5 linked regions of the Cricetulus griseus genome follow. The protein of the gene in region 3 interacts with the protein of the main gene of each other region in a biochemical or structural test. Links are inferred from orthologs where the notes say so. Each region holds a gene or a part of one and is shown on either strand. Other genes may lie near its edges. The genes, in order: histone H2AX, Nr4a1, Mapk8, Mapk8ip3 and Dusp10.

The links.
Region 1: the proteins of Mapk8 (region 3) and histone H2AX form a complex in vitro, tested with the Homo sapiens proteins (2 studies listed by BioGRID, with this or other methods). The link is inferred for Cricetulus griseus from reciprocal best matches to the Homo sapiens genes MAPK8 and H2AX.
Region 2: of the proteins of Mapk8 (region 3) and Nr4a1, one has a biochemical effect on the other in vitro, tested with the Homo sapiens proteins (2 studies listed by BioGRID). The link is inferred for Cricetulus griseus from reciprocal best matches to the Homo sapiens genes MAPK8 and NR4A1.
Region 4: the proteins of Mapk8 (region 3) and Mapk8ip3 form a complex in vitro, tested with the Homo sapiens proteins (3 studies listed by BioGRID, with this or other methods). The link is inferred for Cricetulus griseus from reciprocal best matches to the Homo sapiens genes MAPK8 and MAPK8IP3.
Region 5: the proteins of Mapk8 (region 3) and Dusp10 form a complex in vitro, tested with the Homo sapiens proteins (2 studies listed by BioGRID, with this or other methods). The link is inferred for Cricetulus griseus from reciprocal best matches to the Homo sapiens genes MAPK8 and DUSP10.

What each region holds. Positions count from the first base shown.
Region 1 is NC_048597.1:156,021,653-156,024,760, reverse strand, and holds histone H2AX, read right to left. Parts: upstream 1,859-3,108; 5' UTR 1,778-1,858; coding exon 1,346-1,777; 3' UTR 503-1,345; downstream 1-502. UniProt on the Homo sapiens protein: Variant histone H2A which replaces conventional H2A in a subset of nucleosomes. Nucleosomes wrap and compact DNA into chromatin, limiting DNA accessibility to the cellular machineries which require DNA as a template.
Region 2 is NC_048595.1:397,707,159-397,710,672, reverse strand, and holds part of Nr4a1 (nuclear receptor subfamily 4 group A member 1), read right to left. Parts: intron 832-3,514; 5' UTR 830-831; coding exon 1-829. UniProt on the Homo sapiens protein: Orphan nuclear receptor. Binds the NGFI-B response element (NBRE) 5'-AAAGGTCA-3'. Binds 9-cis-retinoic acid outside of its ligand-binding (NR LBD) domain.
Region 3 is NW_023276807.1:185,964,172-185,968,389, forward strand, and holds the start of Mapk8 (mitogen-activated protein kinase 8), read left to right. Parts: upstream 1-1,417; 5' UTR 1,418-1,568; intron 1,569-4,218. UniProt on the Homo sapiens protein: Serine/threonine-protein kinase involved in various processes such as cell proliferation, differentiation, migration, transformation and programmed cell death.
Region 4 is NC_048600.1:44,531,467-44,535,488, forward strand, and holds the start of Mapk8ip3 (C-Jun-amino-terminal kinase-interacting protein 3), read right to left. Parts: upstream 2,806-4,022; 5' UTR 2,680-2,805; coding exon 2,362-2,679; intron 1-2,361.
Region 5 is NC_048598.1:10,588,792-10,592,792, forward strand, and holds the start of Dusp10 (dual specificity protein phosphatase 10), read right to left. Parts: upstream 2,811-4,001; 5' UTR 2,653-2,810; intron 498-2,652; 5' UTR 457-497; coding exon 1-456. Other genes in the region: uncharacterized protein LOC100773462, read left to right, coding at 3,356-4,001. UniProt on the Homo sapiens protein: Protein phosphatase involved in the inactivation of MAP kinases. Has a specificity for the MAPK11/MAPK12/MAPK13/MAPK14 subfamily. It preferably dephosphorylates p38.

The sequences.
Region 1 (3,108 bases), on a different chromosome or scaffold from region 3:
GAGACTTCCAGAGACACGAATCACCTTGGGGCCTTGATGACTGCGCCTTTCCTCCTCAGTAGTTAGGGCTTCATCTCTTTAGAAAAAGTCAGTGCCAATCTCGAATGTAACCAATGCCACTAATATTAAACCAGCTCTCAATGTGGTTGTTTTGGTGGAATTGGGGAAAATATAAATAAACCCAAAGCCCTTTTAAACCTGAATTCTGAGTCTGGGACTTCTCTGTTGAAATACTTTCTAATTGCCTCATGTTCTCAGAATGCATCCCAGGAAGCACCGAGCAAAGAGAAAACTGCCTCAATTCCTACAGCCTGCCTGTTTTCAGTTAACAGAACCTACTTGTATTACAGTCTTGCCCATCCCCACTGCTCTAAGGGAACTTACAATTCCACTCCCACCTCCCAACACAACACATGCCAGGTACATGGCTCTACCACGGAGCTATAGAACCCCAACCCCGGGCCTACAGCAATTCGAAATTAATCAAGACACTCCATCTTTTAAAAAAACAGAACAACCATTTAATAAAATTAGCCCATTGAAACTCCCCACTACCTAAGGTTCTAAACTTGGGATAGCTGCAAAATTCCAGTTCAGAAGCCAGTAGAGGCTCAGTCCAGATAGGGATTCACCGACTTGTGCTGGTATCTAGGTGTTTGGGTTGTGAATTGAGTCGCTGGGAAGAAAAGGGGATAGCTAGGCCCGGCTGCCAGTCTCCTGCGGCAAGAACACAGCTCTTCTGTCCACAGGCCTGTAAGCTTCTCCCAAACCCTTTCCAGGAGGCATCCTGGAGAAAACCAGCTCATATTACAGTGATTTTGTCCCGGCCACACCACACACCGGCCGATGAACGAAGATGGGGTAAACTGGTATGAGGCCAACGAAGGGGAAAACACAGGACCAAACAATATGATCCATTTCTCTTCACCAAAGCCTGGTAATCAAGTCACTTCTGGAAGGTCCAGGCGAGGGCTAAAGCACCAAGCTGAAGAAAGGACGCCCGGGTTGCAGCTGCAGAGTAACTCACCTTCAGGCCCACCTCAGCCGTACGTCACAGCAAAAGGCCGACACTTCTGGAAGGTGTCGCAACCTCTCCGCGCGGCCCATCGAGACGGAGACCGGCGAAGCTCCGCGATGGATAAGTACCGCGGCGCCTGACCCGGAGGCCGTGCAGGGAAGGGGAGGCAGAAACGCGCGATGGCAGAGAAAGGGGAAGAGAATGGGAACGCGGCGGCCCGGCCCGCAGCCCTAAGTGGCTCAGCTCTTTCCGTGAGGGAGGTGGTGGCCCTTAAAAGGGCCTTTGTGGAGGTGTGGGGAGGGCTGGGCGGCCAGGGCGCGGGCTCCCTCAGTACTCCTGAGAGGCCTGGGTGGCCTTCTTGCCGCTCGCCGGCGCCTTGGGCCCCACGGTGGCGCTCGTCTTCTTGGGCAGCAGCACGGCCTGGATGTTGGGCAGGACGCCGCCCTGAGCGATCGTCACGCCGCCCAGAAGCTTGTTGAGCTCCTCGTCGTTGCGGATGGCCAGCTGCAGGTGGCGCGGGATGATGCGCGTCTTCTTGTTGTCCCGCGCCGCGTTGCCCGCCAGCTCCAGAATCTCAGCGGTGAGGTACTCGAGCACGGCCGCCAAGTACACCGGGGCGCCGGCTCCCACGCGCTCGGCATAGTGGCCTTTCCTCAGCAGCCGATGCACGCGGCCTACCGGGAATTGTAGACCGGCGCGCGAGGAGCGCGATTTCGCCTTGGCGCGGGCCTTGCCTCCGGTTTTACCGCGACCCGACATCGTATACGAGGTAGAAAGCAGAGAGCAACACCGACGACGAAAGAAAACTGCCAACCGCCGCAGTCAACTGTCGCCGCGCGCGGGCGAGCTCGCCCTTATAAACTCCATGGACACGCCCCCGCCTCCCCCTGATTGGCTCTTTTCCCCAGTACCGGCCTCTGGTTGGTTGGAATTAACCCTTCGGTGACGCGCCTAGGCGAAAAGAGCTCGCCCAGCGATTGGTCCAATTTGAAAACCTTTTACCCGGGGAAGAAAGCAAGGCGGAGTGGCCGCAAACAGCAGGCTAATCATCCATGGAAGTGGCCAATCCTTATTAAGCGCGCGAAATTTAAACGCTATTGCGCGCCACCAGAACCGGAAGACTAGGAAGGTGGAGTCTGGAGGCGCATGACTGTCTCTGGGAAATCTGGGCCGGCCAAGGGTTTTAAAGTAAAAGGGTTAGCCGAGCGATAGTGGTGCACACCTTTAATTCAAGCACTCAGGAAGCGGAGGAAGGGGGAGCTCTGAGTTCAAGCTTAGCCTGGTAACAAAGCGAGTTCCAGGACAGCCAGGGTTACAAGGGGAAACCCTGTTTCGAAAAACATTTTAACAAAAGTTAAAAAGGGAAAGAGTTCTCCTTCCAGGTCAGGGGCACTCCCACGCCCTCCTCAAATTTGGCAAAGGGAGGGTTTAAAGGAGAAGAAATGAAACCTGAGAGTACAATCCTATGCCAGAAAACTGAGTGCTGTGATCCTTTGTGCTACGACAAGTTAGTATTTTAATATTTATTCAACATGTTCTGTCTGGTTTCAGTTCTGTCACTTCTTGCAGGAAGGGGTCTGATGGAACAGAGGTAGGTATTCTCTTGGAAAGGGTACCCACCCCAACCCTTCCAATCGATCCTAAAATGCCCATACGAAAGATAAATAGGGGATAGATGTATAGATTTATTCAGTGGTAGAGCACTTAACAAAGTTCAGTCCTCAGGCCGGATGTTGGTTGCACAAGCCTTGTATCCCAGCACTGGGAGACAGAGGCAGGTGGATCTCTGTGAGTTCGAGGCCAGCCTGGTCTCCAGAGCGAGTGCCAGGATAGGCTCCAAAGCTATACAGAGAAACCCTGTCTCGAAAAACCAAAAAAAAAAAAAAAAAAAAAAAAAAGAGTTCAGTCCTCAAGTATCTCAAAGGCTAGAAAAAGAGGTTGAGGGAGAGAAGCAAGTAAAAGACAATCCTTTATTGTCACCATTTTGAGCACATGGCCCTGCCTCTGATCTTCCTAATCAGAACACTTAATTTTAAAGTCAAATGTGAGGTTACCTTGGAGTATAGGGCCCTAACTCTAGCACATAGCCC
Region 2 (3,514 bases), on a different chromosome or scaffold from region 3:
AAGCATTGTCTCCACATACGGCACAGTGCCCCTCACTGCCACTTGAAGCCCCACTCCGGGCCTTGGTGGAGGTCACAGGTGCATCCAGAATCCCAGAAGTGTCAAGGTTCGGAGAAGTGGGTGCCAAGCCAGGGAAAGCTGCTGGCATGGAATAGCTCTCTCCCTTCCCAACCTGGTGGGTGGCTGGTGGTGGGAACAACTTCAGGGAACTCTGGGCCAGGCTGGGGCTAGGACCAGTTGGGGGACTGAAGGAGAAGAAGGTTGGAGGTGGGGGGGGCCCAGAAGCCTTGGGCAACTGCTCTGTCCATGCCCGAAGGCCTTCATAAGTCTGGCTGGGGGAGAAGTGACCAAATGAGCCATCCCAGGGAGAGAGCTGGGGTGGCTGGAAGCTGGGTGTGGATGGCGAGGGGGCTGAGCAGGGACTGCCATAGTAATCAGAGCCGCTGGAGGACAGGGTCTCATCTAACGGGCCACTCAGGGTGCCGGGATAACAGCCGTACACCTGGAAGTCCTCAAACTTGAAGGAAGCAGAAGCGGGAGAGGTGGCCGAAGATGAGGAAGAAGATGTGGAGGAGGCTGACGAAGAAGCTGAGGAGCATGGCTGGGTTGTCCCCGGCAGCTGGTATAGGAAGGTGTCAAACTCTCCGGTGTACCCGTCCATGAAGGTGCTGAAGCTGGGCAGGGTAGTGGGTGCAGTGGGTGCTGCCTCGGGGCTGGCCAGGTCCATGGTAGGCTTGCTGAACTCAAGGGCCAGGGGGTCACTTGTCAGGTGGTCACGCGGTCCTGGGCTTGTTGCTGGTGTTCCATATTGGGCTTGGATACAGGGCATCTCTGGAGAGGGAGGAGACCCAAGGGAGGGAAGGGGAGGAGTCAATAAGAGCCAGGGCAGCCAGGTGGCAGGCCTAGAAATGAGGCAGGCCACAGGACCACAGAACCCAGGAGTCCTGATCCCCCAGCCCAAGCACTATCTCAGTCTACAAGCCACAAAGCTCATGGGCAGAGACCCAGTCCAAGAGGGCTCAGTCAGAAGGCCAGCCACACCCCAGTGGGCCTGGGAACCCTAGGGAAGGCATCTAGCCAGAACTTCCCTGCAGGAACAGGGGGAAGCTGTGTTCCTCCAACCCCCAGCCTCCTGTTCACGGGTGGGGGCTGGGAGAGGCAACCCACAGAGCTTCGGCCCAGCCCCCAGGAGCAGATCTGCTGATTTTTCAACCAGACACTTCCTGGGAATACATTCCCAGGCACACCCCAGGCTCTGCATACCCCTTCCTCACTTCCCCCCACAGTGTCAGTGGAGACAGACATCCTGGAACTGGAGGAGAAGCTGTGGGTCACGGTACAACTGTCTACCACAGTGGCCTTAGCAAAGCAGCCTCAGATCCCAGCCCCACTTCAGCGCTGTGTGCTGATCCCACAGGCACCCAGTCCTTCTATCTGGGACTGTGCACCCACTCTGTACTTTCTGGAATGTTTCCAGGAGTTAAGGGAATTACTGGGTAGCATGTCTACAGATGTTTAAATACCACATACACTGGGGGCTGGAGAGATGGCTCAGTGGTTAAGAGCATGTGCTGCTCTTCCAGAGGTCCTGAGTTCAGTTCCCAATTCCACATCAGGTGGCTCACAACAACCTCTAACTCCAGCTCTGATGCCTCTAGCCTTGTAGGATTCATGTGCACACACACAGTTAAAAATAGTTAAGAAAAAAGTCTTAAATTCTATATATTGCAGGGAGGTGAGGGACTCCTCAGGTGAGCAGGAAGACCCAGAGAGGAGCCTCTGAGCACACAGGCAAATTTTCTCAGCTAGCCCGATCATTTTTATAAGAGGACACTCAGAGTCCAGCAGGATACAAAGAGTACAGGAGCCTACTGGTAGATGCATGAGGACAACCTGCCCCTGCCCATACCCCTCTGATAAAGCAGATGTCTGTTTCCTGTAGCATCCAGGGACTTGCCAAAGCCACACACATACACACACACACACACACACACACACACACACACACACACACACACACTGGAGCATCTGAAATATCAGAGATAGTACCATTCCAGGGAGACTCTTAAGTTTGTATCTGGTCAGAAATCTTGCAGAGGAAGCTTCAGGACCTAGTGTCCCTTCCAAGACTAGGGTCTGTACAGTGTAGCCTTTCTAGTAGGGAAGGCAAGCCACATAGAAAATCAAGCTGGAGCAGAGGAAGGGATAGTAATGGGGCAACGACTGTCACCACTTGCTTGCCAGAAGGCCCTTGAAGCCCTCTAGTCCCAGTATTTCTCCCAACCCCACCCCACCCCTAGGTGCCTGGACAGGACAGTTCCACCCCTGGCCTGACATGCAGCCTCCCAAAAAACAGTGCCCCCGCCCCCAAGTTCTAGCCCTGCCTGCACAGTGGTAGGTCCCTCAAGCATACAGCACCTGTGAGAAATAAACATGGCCACTTCTGTCTAGGCAGGGATGGGTTGGGGGTGGAGGAGGAAAGGTGGCAGCCAGTCAGGACTGGGCATCTGTTCCAGCCTCATTCAAATCCTGTTTCTCCACTTGGACATCCTACATCCGGATCAACCCCCACCAATCTACCCTGCTTCAGGCAGATAGTCAGCAACACGAGATACAGACCTGCATCTAGTCTCCTGGGGTGTTGGGGGAGGTAGTCCCAAGGAGGGGGGAGGAGGAAGAGGCGGGGCTGAAGGAGGGAGTTGGAGAATCCGGCTTGGGTCAGGTCCTGGCAACACAGTGGCTTGCACCTGTTGTCAGGTGAACAAACCTCAGGCTGCACCCTACTTAGCAGATTCAATGGGGACCACTGGGGTGATCTGCAAGCCTGTCTGGATTGAGGGGAGGGTAATCCCCTCCCAAGTCAGTGCCACACTACAGCAGAGCAACTTTCACCCAGTCCCCACGTGCCCCTTTCCACGACTGCGCCAGGGTATAGCTAAAACAATCCTTTGCTTCTAGATACCCTGACTGTGCCAACTTAGTCCAACACCGCAATCACCCCGCCAATCTAGCTAGCCATTTCCTTCAGCAAGACCCAGGTCTTCCTGCACAGTTCATACACAAAGTTCAGTAGGGGAATCTGAAATTTTAACTACAGCCTATAAAGTGTTAAGTAAACAACTGGGAAAGAGGTTGATAGCCTGGAAAGGAGACCCGTGGAAATTCAGTCCTACATGGAGTTGGATAGATCCCAGCAGCGCGGAAGCTCTACTGTATACTTTCTCCCTGCAACATACTCATACACCCGCCACCCCACAATCGGCACCCAAACACAGAGTATGGCGTGCCTGTTTGGGCGCCCTGGGAAAAAACAAAACAACACAACAACCGCTGGACGAGCCTCCACTACCTACCGGCACCAACCACCTTGCAGATCCTTTACCCACTCCCCAAACCTCAAGTTCGCGCTCACCCCACTCCAAGAGCTACCCTTAATACCACAGATGCACTCTGCACACCCCTTCTCGCACGCCGACCCGAAGACATCCTTTCCCCCGCGCGTACACCCATCTCT
Region 3 (4,218 bases):
GGTCTTATGGATATATTGGTTCCTTTCATAGTCTGATGTATCCTTTTAATTTGTATTATACGTTGATACTTTTACGTTTTGTATAATTACTTTCATAACAGAAATTCTCTGTTATGAAAGATCTAATTGCTGCTAGTGCTAGAACACTGCCTTTAAGAGAATGGGCAAGTGATAAAATAGTCACTGGAGAAATAAAGGAAGTATGGAAATAAAGAATTGGTGAGGCGGGTGGAGTGATGAGTCAGTTGTTAAGAGCACTGGGTGCTCTTCTTGAGGACCCAGGTTCAATTCCCAGCACCCTCATGGCAGTTCACCACTATCTGCAACTCCAGCTCCAGTAGTCCTGACACCTTCACATGACAAACATGCAGGCAAAAAACACCAGTGAACATAAAATAAAAATAAATAAATAAATAAATAAATAAATAAAAGAATTGTTGAGAGAGACGAAATGGGGAGAGGATGGATGGATGAATGCTCACATTTGCCTTATGACCACATCACTGCAAACAGAGCATCTCAACGTGTAATTGGAACATAATAATCCAGCTGACTTTATTTGATAAATATTTATATATTTTTGGAAATCATAGGATACCACACAGGAGAGACTGCCCTTTATTCACCACTGTCAAAACACCTATCATGTTCCTTTCCATGTTTTTTTGTATATACTGTGCATGTAATGTATTTTTTATATATGTGTAATCATTCTATGTGTACGTGTTTCTTGCTCCCTTCTCTTATAAGTTACTTTCTCTGGTTGGTAAAAATGCCTTTGAACAAACACATTGTCTTTAAAGGGATAAATATACTCTACTGAATGAATAATAGTAATTTAAATGCCTTTCCATCCATTGTCGGGTGGTTAGGCTGGCCAGTTAATCAGTCCATAGCTAATATTTGCAGGAGACACGAGGCTTTGGAGGTATATCAGGTAATGCAAAGAATCTGGAGCATTTATTTTTTGGGGGGGTAACTTTTTCCAGGGAGCTGGAGAACATTTTCTTATTGGTGGGTGGTAGGCCTTGGAAGAGTGGCTGTCCAAGTAGGATTCTCCGTGGCTCACGTGTGTGCACTGACATGCGTGCCTGACCTTCAAACACTAACGCCCCTCCACAAGCTGGCAGCCCAGCAGGCTTAGGCTATGACTGGTGTTTCGCCGCCACGCGCCGCCACGTGCCGTCGCAGCCCCGCCCCCTGCTGCTCCCGGCCACGCCCCTCACACGCGGCTTTCCCAGTTGCGGCCCGCGGCGACCTCCGCGAGTGCCGCCTGCTCTCCAATGTAGCCACGCCCCCGGTCACTGGGCCACGCCTTCACAATCCGGGCCCCCGGGGCCGCTCCGCCCCCAGGCCGCTCGCAGGCGCGGGGGCGGGGCCCTGCGCGATGACGTGGGCGGGCGTGCGCGTTGACGACCCGCGTCTCTGTTAGTCAGCGGAGCGGCCGAGGCCGGACGTCGCGGCCGGAACGCGGAGCCGCGAGCAGGGCTGAGTAGCGGCCGCGGCCACCGCGGGACGGCGCCGCTCACCGCTACGGGCTTCCCGGTCGCCATTGGCTGCGCTGCCGGGTGAGTGCGCGGGCTCCGCGGCCCGGGCGGCCGCCGCCTTCCCCCGGCCGTGACCCCCTCCGGGAACGCGCGCGGGGCGGGGGCGGCGCGGGAACAATAGCGCGGGCGGCGGGGCAGCGGGGGGCGTGGTCCACTCGGCGCGACCTGGCTTCTCCACTCTGGCCGGTTTCCACGTTGCGCGGGGAGAATGGAGCCGGTGGGCGGCAAGTTCGGAGGTGCTCTCGCGGAGATCGGGCCGACGCGACCGTACATAGGTCTCCCGCACCCACGGGGAGCGTGTTTTGACTGTGGGCGGTTTCTTTGTGCGGACGTGAGTGCCGCGACGCCGTGAAGGGCCGGGTGGCCGCGAGCGCGCCGGCCTGCGGGCCGCGCCTTCAGAGGGGCTCCTGGCGCTGACCTTTTGACTTTCCCCCACCGCTGTCTCTTTGTCTTGTGCCTGGATTCCCAGTCCAGACACGGTAGATCCAAGTCCATTTTAAAGTACCGTAAGGAACACCTTGCATTTTCATTCCCGAAAGTTCCCTATACCACCGGCAATTTAATAACATGTTGACTGCACGGTGTCCAGTAGTTGCTATTTCTACTTCTGAAATCAAGTGGTCTTTTCAGTAGAATTCTGGTCTGTCAGCCTATTGTGTTTTGAGATGAGCATCCGCCAAGTACCTTTTGGTCAGTTAGAACATCTGTTTATTTCATTCATTCATTCAGCAGCTGTTAGTACTGTATCCAGATGGAGAGGATGTGAAGGCCAAGAGAAAGACCCTTACGAATAGGGTACTTTGGAATAGAATAGATGTGCCTTTAAATAAGACTGTTATATAAGTGATATATGTTAAGTAAGGTATTTGCCTCGTTTTATTAGAACTTCTGAAGGTAATGTGATAGGTAATGTGAAGAAGAGCTAGATTTGCTTAAATATACCACCATTATTCTTAAATCTTACCACCACTCCCCTAATTTCTTGTCGTTGTTAATGGTTACCTCAGGCTGTTAGACCTGGGAGGTCAGGTTCTCTGAGTGAACATGTTTACTGCTGTGTATGATGAAAGCAAGCACTCAAAATGGTACTTCGATGCCTATCTTGCATCATTTCTCCAGCACCTAGCATGGAAGTCATACACGTTGAGTTGATTAAAAAAAAAAGTTTATAGAGGAAAATTGGAAGCTTTAAATCCCACCCCCACCCCCGAAGTTTGAGAAGTGTCAAGCATCACTCTCAGTTGGCTGCATCGTAAATTAGTAGAGGATACTACCTGTTAAGATAAAAGAGGGTTTGGGATCACTGTTTTTGTTTTTATGCTTTACTTCCAGGGCATTCACTATTTTAAGACCACCCCTGAATTTTTTGCATATAATTAATAAAGTAGAAAATTGTGTTGTGTGTGTGTGTGGTGGGGGGTCTGTTAAGTATGTGTGTAAAAGTTGAGCATCCATAACTTGAAAGTCGGAGATACTCCAAAATCTGAAACACTTACAGTCCTTTGCAGATAAGGGGCATTCACTTGGTACTTTGTCATCAAAGTTGGGTACTTTGTTCACTTCCAATATTTTAGATAAGGGCTTTTTCCAGCCAGATGTGTGAATGAACCCAGACCTAACAGTGGTGTTTCATTAGGAATCTAACATGATTTCATTTTTCTCCCCTAAAAAAAAAAAATTACTATCTAGGGTGCATGGTGTGTTTTTTGGGGCAGGGGGTACACATACTTCTGTGTGCATGTGGAAGCCAGAGGACAACTTTGTGGGGTTGATTTTCTTTTACCTTTAAGTGGGTTCTAGACATCAAACCCAGATTCCCAGACTTTTAGGGAATGTATCTTTTCCCACTATTATTTCACAAGTTTTTATGATTTCTTTGAGTAGAAAAGCACAACACCCACATGTGTTTTACAGATATTTTATTTCTAATAGTCTAGAGCTGGTTAATGTTTTAGAGTTGCTTACTGGAAAGGTCAGGTTTTAGCTTGTACTTATCTATCTCACAGAGCATATGGGTTTAAAATGCAAAATACTATGAATTTATCCAAGTTTTGGCACGTTTCCACTATTTAAAAAATATTTCTTTTCGATATGAAAAGTCATTCAGATGAACTTATTTACTGTAGAATAAGAATGGAAAAATAAGGAAATTATTCTATTACTCTGAGTGATAGACCTTGGGGCACCAAACTTTTATTGCTTTACCTAGCTAAGTGTATGAGGTTCCAGAAGGGACTCTGGAATTAAGAAATCATTTGAGTGGCTCACACACAGACAGACTCTGCATAAATTCAGTTAGGTTGTCTTCTAAATTCTGTTGTTTAAACAGCTTTCTTGAGATTTAATTCACATAAAGAGTGGCTCTCATAGAGTATTTTTTAGTGGTGTTTAGTCTACTTGCATAATTATGCATTGATCACTACTATACCATTCTGGAGCATCATTGTACCACAAAGAAAACCCCCTTAAAAAAAAAAAAAAAGCAGTCTGGTGTTTGAAAGGAAGAGAGTATGGGTTCTGTTAATAAATAAGTCCCTTTAATGAAAAGGGTACCCTTTAACTGTCGTGGCATATTAGGAAACTGTATATTTCATGCTCCTTTTAATCCTTAGAGAAATTACTTGGAAAGGAAATTTAGTATAAGAGTTAATTGAGCCATATGTGGTGATAC
Region 4 (4,022 bases), on a different chromosome or scaffold from region 3:
AAAATAAATCTTGGATCAAACTCTTCCATTTGGATTCGTTGTGTAGAAGCAAACGCCGCATCATCAGTAAATATCCAAAGGACCCACCTGAGTCGCTTGAGATGAGCTATAGAAGGCTTCCTAGCACATTCTTTATCGTTAGAAGACTAAGGAAGTAGTAACACTAATATTGTCTTTCAAACATAATTTTTCTTCCTATTATCTAAGGGCTTGCCTATTGCAAGGAAAAAGGCTAGCCCTTTTCTAATCCTTCTTCCAATGGGAAAGGATGTTGGGATAAAAACACTGTTAGTATCTTACCAATCAGTAACAACGCAACAGATTACAAGGCCCAAACCATGCCATCCACGGCTGAATACCGTCCCTGAAACTACATTAGGGACCCTGTTCTCACTGCTAAATCTACCTTGCCACAATTGTCTTTCTGGGACACCAATGGCCAACATCCCACTCACTTTATAAGACAGCTACAACTGAAGGTCTGAGAGAGGCTGGGTAAGGTATGTGGTCCCTGAGGGTAGGATGGCCAGACAGGCATCTGCAAACTCTACAGCTGAGTCCCTCCTCCCAGGTCCTGAGCTCTAGAGAATGAACCACCTGGTATCAGGATAAGAAGTACAGGACTAAGATGTTTAAGAATTTTTAAAAAGCCTGCAGTGTGGTGGTACCACATGTCTTTAATCCCAGCACTCAGGAGGCAGAGGAAGGCAGATCCTTGTGAGTTAGAAGTCACCATGGTTATAGGACAGCAAGGGCTACCTAGAGAAACTCTGTCTTGAAAAACAAACAAACAAACAAACAAAAAATCTTGAAGATTTTGTCTTCTCCAAAGGCTGCCAGCAGCTCAGGTTACCCACCTCTAAGACTAAACAAGCAAAGTGCCTAGGACAGCACTCTCCTGCACCATGACAAGTCTGCATCCAGTGATGCATAACTCCTGGCATATCACACCCATCTGATCGTAAGTCCCTGTCCAGAAAAGGAAGCTGGCCAGCAGTACACAGTAGTTTGTGGGGTTTTGTTGTTGATTGTTTTTAACAGAACCACCCACTCCAATCCACAAAATATCTAGAATGCCATCAGTGTTTAGTTGCTCTTTAGTTTTAACCTCACTGGTGGTTCCTTCAAGGGCATACTGTGGGCATTGAACAACAGCTTCCCCTAGCCAGCCCAGCATCTGTTTACTTCTTGCTTTGCTCAACTTAAAGAGCTGGGTCTTGGCAGTGAGTGCCTCCCTCTGCAAGCCACATGCACACTCACAGCTTAGTCCAGCTTGTGATTAAGTTGGAGGGCAGAGACATCTTCCCCAGGAACAGTGTTGACACCACATGGAGCAGGTGCCTATTCCAGGCAGAGCCCATTTTTAAATTACAAGGTTTTAACTCAGCCTTACAGCTGTCCACCTTCATTTTCTCCTTTTCCTCCACATCAGTGATCATGACTATGTAAGTACAGGGGCAAGGGAAAAAATACCCAAATTCTCTGTCAAAGCATCAAAAGTCTCTAGAATTCAAGACCATGGACAGTGACTTCAGGCACAAGTCTCAGCTCCAGGGTTGGGCTACAAGGACAGAACACTGCAGACTTCTGGGGAACTGCCCCACTATGCAGCAATATGACCCCAAAGGTAAAGCCCAGGGGCTGGTGCCAAAGTCTACCCTGTAATTTGGCCTGTCCTTTTGTCAGTGGTCAGTGTGTGACCTTGGTCTAGCCCAGACACTTTCTGGAGCCAGTAACCACCTCAGTAAAAGGTCTGTGTTCGCCCTGGGCCCTCCGCACATCCTTAGAGCATTTAAATCCCCTATGTTGAGAACTTGAGCAAGCCAAGCAAGTGTTGCCTGCGCATCCCAATTCTGAAACAGCAGCATCTCAACAGTCAAGAGTAAAGTAAAAACACAGTAAGTAGGAATAATTCAATATAAACAATATAAACCGGGACAGGGGGCCATTGATTTAAGAAGCCAACATACCAAAATGTCTCTTAACTTCAGTAGTAGTTTCTAAGACTGTGTCAACTTCACTAAAATGGAATTTAACTTCATATAAGGAGCCACTTCCCACCATAAACCTAAGAGCATTTACTCCCAGAATAGTAGAATTTCTGGGCTTTGCGATCATATAAGGCAACTTGCTCAAAGGACTGAAGGATTAAAAACTCAGAGACAGCAGGCGGCAGCCAAGGTCAGAGGAGAGCAGGAATGGGGGAGCCCCTGTCTCCCGGGCTCTGCACAGGCTGGGCTATGGGTCCAAACTGGACAGAGAAAGCGGCACTTCCATCGGCAGCATTCTGCCGCCTGGGCCGGGCTGGCTGCACCCCGCTACCCACCCCGTGCCCCTCCGCGGCGGCCGGGGCCCACGCACCTCCTCGGCCTGTTTGCGCAGCGCCTTCTCGCGCTCGTATTGCGTGAGCAGCTGCTCGTTGTCCTCGCGTAGGAGCTCCAACTCCACCTCGTGCTCCTGGTTCTCGCTCAGCACCGAGTCCAGGTTCTCCAGCACGTTCACCACCAGCGGCATGAGCTCCTTGACCACCTCCTCGTCATAGCAGTGGATGAGGCGCTCGAACTCACGGTAGATGGAGCCCGCCAGGCCCGACACACGCTCCGACATAACCGAGCCCGAGCAATAGTCGTCTTGGTACACCACCACACCTCCACCCTCGTCCATCTGGATCTCCATCATCGCGGCGACCGCCGCCGCCGCCAGCGCGGCTCGTTCCTGTGCCCGAGTCCACGGGCCGCTATCACCTCAGGCAGCCGCCACCTTAGGATGCGCCGCCGCCCAGGCCGCGCCCGTCACTCCCTTGCCGGAAGTCCCGCCTAGCCGCGGGGGTGGAGCCTCGTCCTGCCCCGCCCTGGGTCGTGACCCCTGACGCCAGAAGAAACGCGGATGGGAAGTTCCGGTCGCGAAGCCGGTGGTGTTTGTGTAGCTCTTTGGGGCTGGAAACATGTGGTTGAGTCTGTGTCTCTGTCTTCGGGCTTTGGTAATATACTCTAGCCGGCCTCGACATGTGTCGTGTGCCGTTTCTGGATGTTTCTTAGTTCATAGCAGTGGTTCATCTGCACCGTCCGCCTGGGTTCTGGGGTCCTTATGTGTAGCAGTACTTTGAGGCCGGAATATAAAGCTAGTCGATCTATTTGTGTTTATTTGCTGGGGACACCATGAGCCTGACTTTGAACTGTGGCACCTCGTGGTTTACTGACTGCTTTCTGCTAACAGATGATTTCCCCCCTCCCAGAAGAGGGCGTCTGAACTGGGGTTACAGTCCATTATGGCTGGACAGAACTGAACAGAGGACCTCCTCTGTAAAAGCAAGTTCTTTCAACCGCTGAGCCGTGTCTCAGCCACCAGATCTTACTCCTAACCACACCAACCTAATGAGTCCTGTAGCTGATATCCAGAACACTTAAAAACATTGCTCACAATTTCACACGTGTGTGTGTGTGTGTGTGTGTGTGTGTGTGTGTGTGTGTGTGTGTGTCTCGACAAGTTCTTACTGTGCAGCACTGGCTAACCTGGAACACGTTATGCCTGGCCTCAAACTCTTATAGATCTGCCTGCTTCTGCTATTCAGCTAGGACTAAGTGCACATACCGTCACTGGAGCTATAAATCCCTCGCCCTTTCAAACAATTTGTTTAGCTTTTTGTAGTTGTTTTGGTTTCTTCGAGTCAGGGTTTCTCTATGTTGCCCTGGCTATCCTGGAACTCACTCTATAGACCATACTGGTCTTAAAGTCCGAGATCCACCTATCTCTGCCTCCCCAGTGATGGGATTAAAGGCGTGCACAATCACCACTTGGTGCAAGCCTTTAATCCCAGCACTGCTATAGAGACAAATACTTACATTCCCGAAGAGATTGTTTTGCAACAGGGCCCCCAGAAGTTACACAACTGACTCCATCATGGAAGTGCCTTTCATGCTGTAAAATTAAGCATGTAGACAGCACCACCTGCCAAAAATGAAAACAATAGACCTAATCCATCAAAATCTATAGTTCTGGGAAAGTTTCTAAATCTACTAACC
Region 5 (4,001 bases), on a different chromosome or scaffold from region 3:
GGGGTAGATGATTTTGATGCTGGCTAGCTGCTTGGGAGTCCCTGACACAGGGCTGCCCACCCCACCCGATGGACTTAAAGAGCCTGTGTTCTCATTGTTGTTGACCATCTGGTTAGCAGGGCAGGTGGTCGAGGTTCCTATGGCGGTGGTGGCAGTGCCAGCGGCAATGGCTTGAGTCTGGGCCTGGTGATCCTTGTCGTAGGTTGTCACCGTACAGCAGCTAGTACTGCTGCATCCACAATTGAGGGAGCGGGCAGAGCCGCTGGATGAGGGCATATACGTCAGATTCGCAGCCTTGAGGGTCACAACAGCGGTGGCAATGACAGGAGGGTGGCTACTGCTGCCTGGGGTGGCAGAGCCAAGGTAGCTAGAGTCTAAACAAAGGTTGAGATCCTGAGGTCGGACAGGCCTAGACAGTGTCACTACTACCCTGTCGTCTAAAGGAGATGGAGGCATGAGGAGGCTGAAAACTGGCAATTCAAGAAGAACTCAAGAGTCTGTAAAGAAGGGGAAGAAGGAAAGAAAGAATAAAGTCATGTGGCACAAAAGGCAGTCTCATCCAATCCCTGGGAAAGACCTCTGCATATCTCAGAGCAAAGTCAGCATCCTCCCAGGTGCCCTTGGTCATGATGCCATCAAAGCCTGAAATTCACTTTGATGTATTCAGAGAGGACACATCCTTGAGGGACCCCATGCATTCTGATGCTAAGTCGAAGGTTAAAATTGGAAGTGAGGTTAGAAATGGTAATTGGCATCCTTTCAGGGACCCAATCAAAGTTCAGCCTTCACGGACATAAAGGCACCGAGAACTGGGAACAATGAAGACCTGACAGGGAGGCTCTTAGATTTATTCTGAGCCTCCTCTCCTGGGCAGGAGTCTATTTCACCTGTGATGGATGCATTTGTCCACCCTGGCATGTATTCTGTTTCATTTCTTTGCCCACTGCCAAGGCAAAGAGATAAGCAAGAGCATTGCCAGAGCTCACAGAGATGCACAGAAATGCGTGGCAGCTAAATTTACATGGGGGCAGATGTCAACTTTCTGCTAATGAGGAACGAACGTGTCTTCCTAAGTCAGTCTCCTGGACTAGGAGCTAATCTTGCTTGCTTCCCTTTCTGGCGGCCCCTTTGAAAACCTCAATGCAGTCCTCTTCAAAGCCCTCATGTCTTCTGTGAGCCTCTTCCAAACCAAGCCGCACTAACTGTCCTAAAACCAAGTCCCAAAAGGAGTCAGGTCTGGGAACCCCAACTCGGGCTGCTGACCCATCATGACCCCTTCTTCCTTGGCCCAGCTCACCCTTGACCCCTCCCTGTGCTGTGCCCCTAAGCAAAGAAGGGTTTGGATTTCATCCGGGTGGTACAGACTTTGCATTGACATTGGAGTAGCAACTCTAAAAGATTTTTTCATTCCTATACTGATGTCCCCTCTTGGAGACAGCATGGATTCCATGAAGGCAACTTCACTTGCTCCTTCACCACAGGCAGGCTAATTAGGAAGCTGGGAAGTGGTGCCCACAGGGGTTACCTCTGCCTTCCCCCAAGGGTGCCTGCAATGGGTCACTTCCCTCCTCCTCCTAGGCACAAGGCCACTCTAAACACAGCCATTCTGACTCCTCTACTAGACATGTACACAGCAAAGAAATCAAACCCCAAGCAAGAGCCACTCACCTAAACGAACTTTTAAGATTTGCCTGGAAAAACATTATGGATCATGGGTCTACTCAAGACCGTCACCGTTCTCTGACACCGAGCCAAAGTGTCACCGGCAGAATCCACACAAGCACACACAGGAGCACGTACCCACCCGTGTCGGCATATCCCCACTGACTCAGGTTTCTCTCATCCACCTTTGGATGGGAGCAAAGGCTCCAACCTCCTCCTGCCTTCCTCCCTCCCTCCCTCACCTCCCTGCCTGCCTCCCTTGCGTAGTACTTTATTTATTTGCAGAGCGAGTACTATTCCAGAAGCTTAACTGTGTCCCTGCTAGACCATGGATGCAGTCAAAGTCTTTGCTATTGTGTTACCTGGCAGAGGACGTCCGGGATCAGTAGCCCATTCCCTAGGAGCAGGACCCAAGAACGTGTTCCCAGAGACAGGCTGGTACCAGCACCTCCACACTGAGTGCACGGCTCGCACCCAGGCACGGAGTGCACCGAAATCTGCATCCTTGCAGCAGATAGCTCCAAAGCCATCCAGTCTGGCCCTGGGAAACCTCCCTCAAAAATAGCGCTTCTCCCTTACCCTGTCCCTCGCTAGTCTCCCTTCTCCCACTAAACAGGGACTGGAGCAAAAAACCTCAAGTGGTTAGGGAATGCTCCTTCCTCACTTCTGGGGCACTTAGCATCCCCCTTCCTCGCCACCGCTGGGCATCAGCTAAGCCTTGGGCTTTGAAAACTGCCACAAAGCATCTTAACCGAACCAAAACTCATTTTCCCCCTTCATCCCAGGGCAACCAGACCCAAAAGCCTAAACCTTAGGACCTTCCTTAACTGATGTGGATTTCTCTGTCTCTTACACACACACACACGCGCACACACACACACACACACACACACACACACACGCACACGCACACGCACACGCACGCACACACACAACCCCACGGGACCCTCCAGCCTCGGGCTCTGAGTGGCCGCGATGACTTCCACTTACTTCATCAATAAGCGTAGCCCTCCACCATCTGGCGCCGGCTCCAGCTATGCGCTCGCGCACTGCGCCCCCATTCACTCAGCTTCATTGATCCCCAGCAGCAACACAGAGTTACTTTCTCTTTTGCTACAGCGTAAATGTAAGCTCCGGAGGGGGCGGGGCTACCGCCGAGCGACGTCGCGCTGCACCAATGAGGATCCAGAGCCCGCGGCCCGCTACCTCACAGTGGCCTGTGGCCAATAGACGGCCGAGGGGGCGGAGAGAGAGGCGTGGCCTCGCCGCGGGAAGGAGGCCCGCTCAGACGCGAAGCTGGGTTTGGTGTGTTAGAACGCGGGCGGTGATGTCATTGGCAACCAATCAAAAACTTAAAAGAGCCAGCCCGGGCCCGCGCGGAGCAGCAGCTCTCTATTTACATGTAAACCTAGGCGGCCGCCAGACGCGGTTAACCCTTCCCGGGGCTGAAGTGTCAATGGCTCGCACTGGCCGCTCTGGCTGAAACTGGTTCTCCCGGCGTGGCGGACCCCGGCCTCGCGGGGTCTCCATTCCACTTCGTGACTCGGGGTGGAGGCTCAGGAGTGTCCGGCCAACTTTCCCGAGGCCGGAGGCGACCCGAAGCCGGGTCTCTCCATGGCCGTGACAGCGCAGCGCGGGACGTGAGCGCGCACAGGGCCGGCCTCCCCGCAGCCCGGCTCTGTCCGGCCCGCAGATGTCGCTGCCTCTCCGGCTGCCCTACTGCTCTCCCGCGCGGCGGCTGCGCGCCGTGCTCCTGTTCCCTTACTTCCGTGCCCCGGTCACTCCCCCGCCGTCCCCGGTGTGTTCACAGGAGCCCGACTCGGAACTCGAAGGTGGCAGCCCGGAGAGCTGCGCGGAGGAGGAGGTTTGGCTCTACTCCAGCGGCCACTGGGGGCGCGTGCTGAGCGGCGGCGTGGGCGCCATCCCGCAAGGCTGGGCGTGGCCGGGCTCGCCCAGCGGCCCACCAGCGCCACAGCCCCGGCACCGGCCCTCAACCCAGCCCACCCCGGTCCTGGCCCCTTCCGCTGCCACCTCCCCGATCGCCGTGTCTTGGCACTCGCAGTCCATCCGCCCCGCGGTGCTGGGCCGTCGGCCCTCCGTGGCGCAGAGCCCTCGGAGAGCCAAGGAGCGCCAGCCTGGAACTGCAAGCGCGGGCGGGAAGGAGCCCGAGTTTAGGGTGGTGAACATCCACAATGAGCGGCGCTGGAGGAGCTTGGAGGAGCCGAATCCAGCTTTCTCGGTTCCCCGAACTTTGGCCATCAGAGGGGTCGCTAGTCGCAGCCTGTGTCCGGGGAAGAGAAGTGGGAAGCTGAACAAGCCTGCCAGCGCCTCGCCAGAAA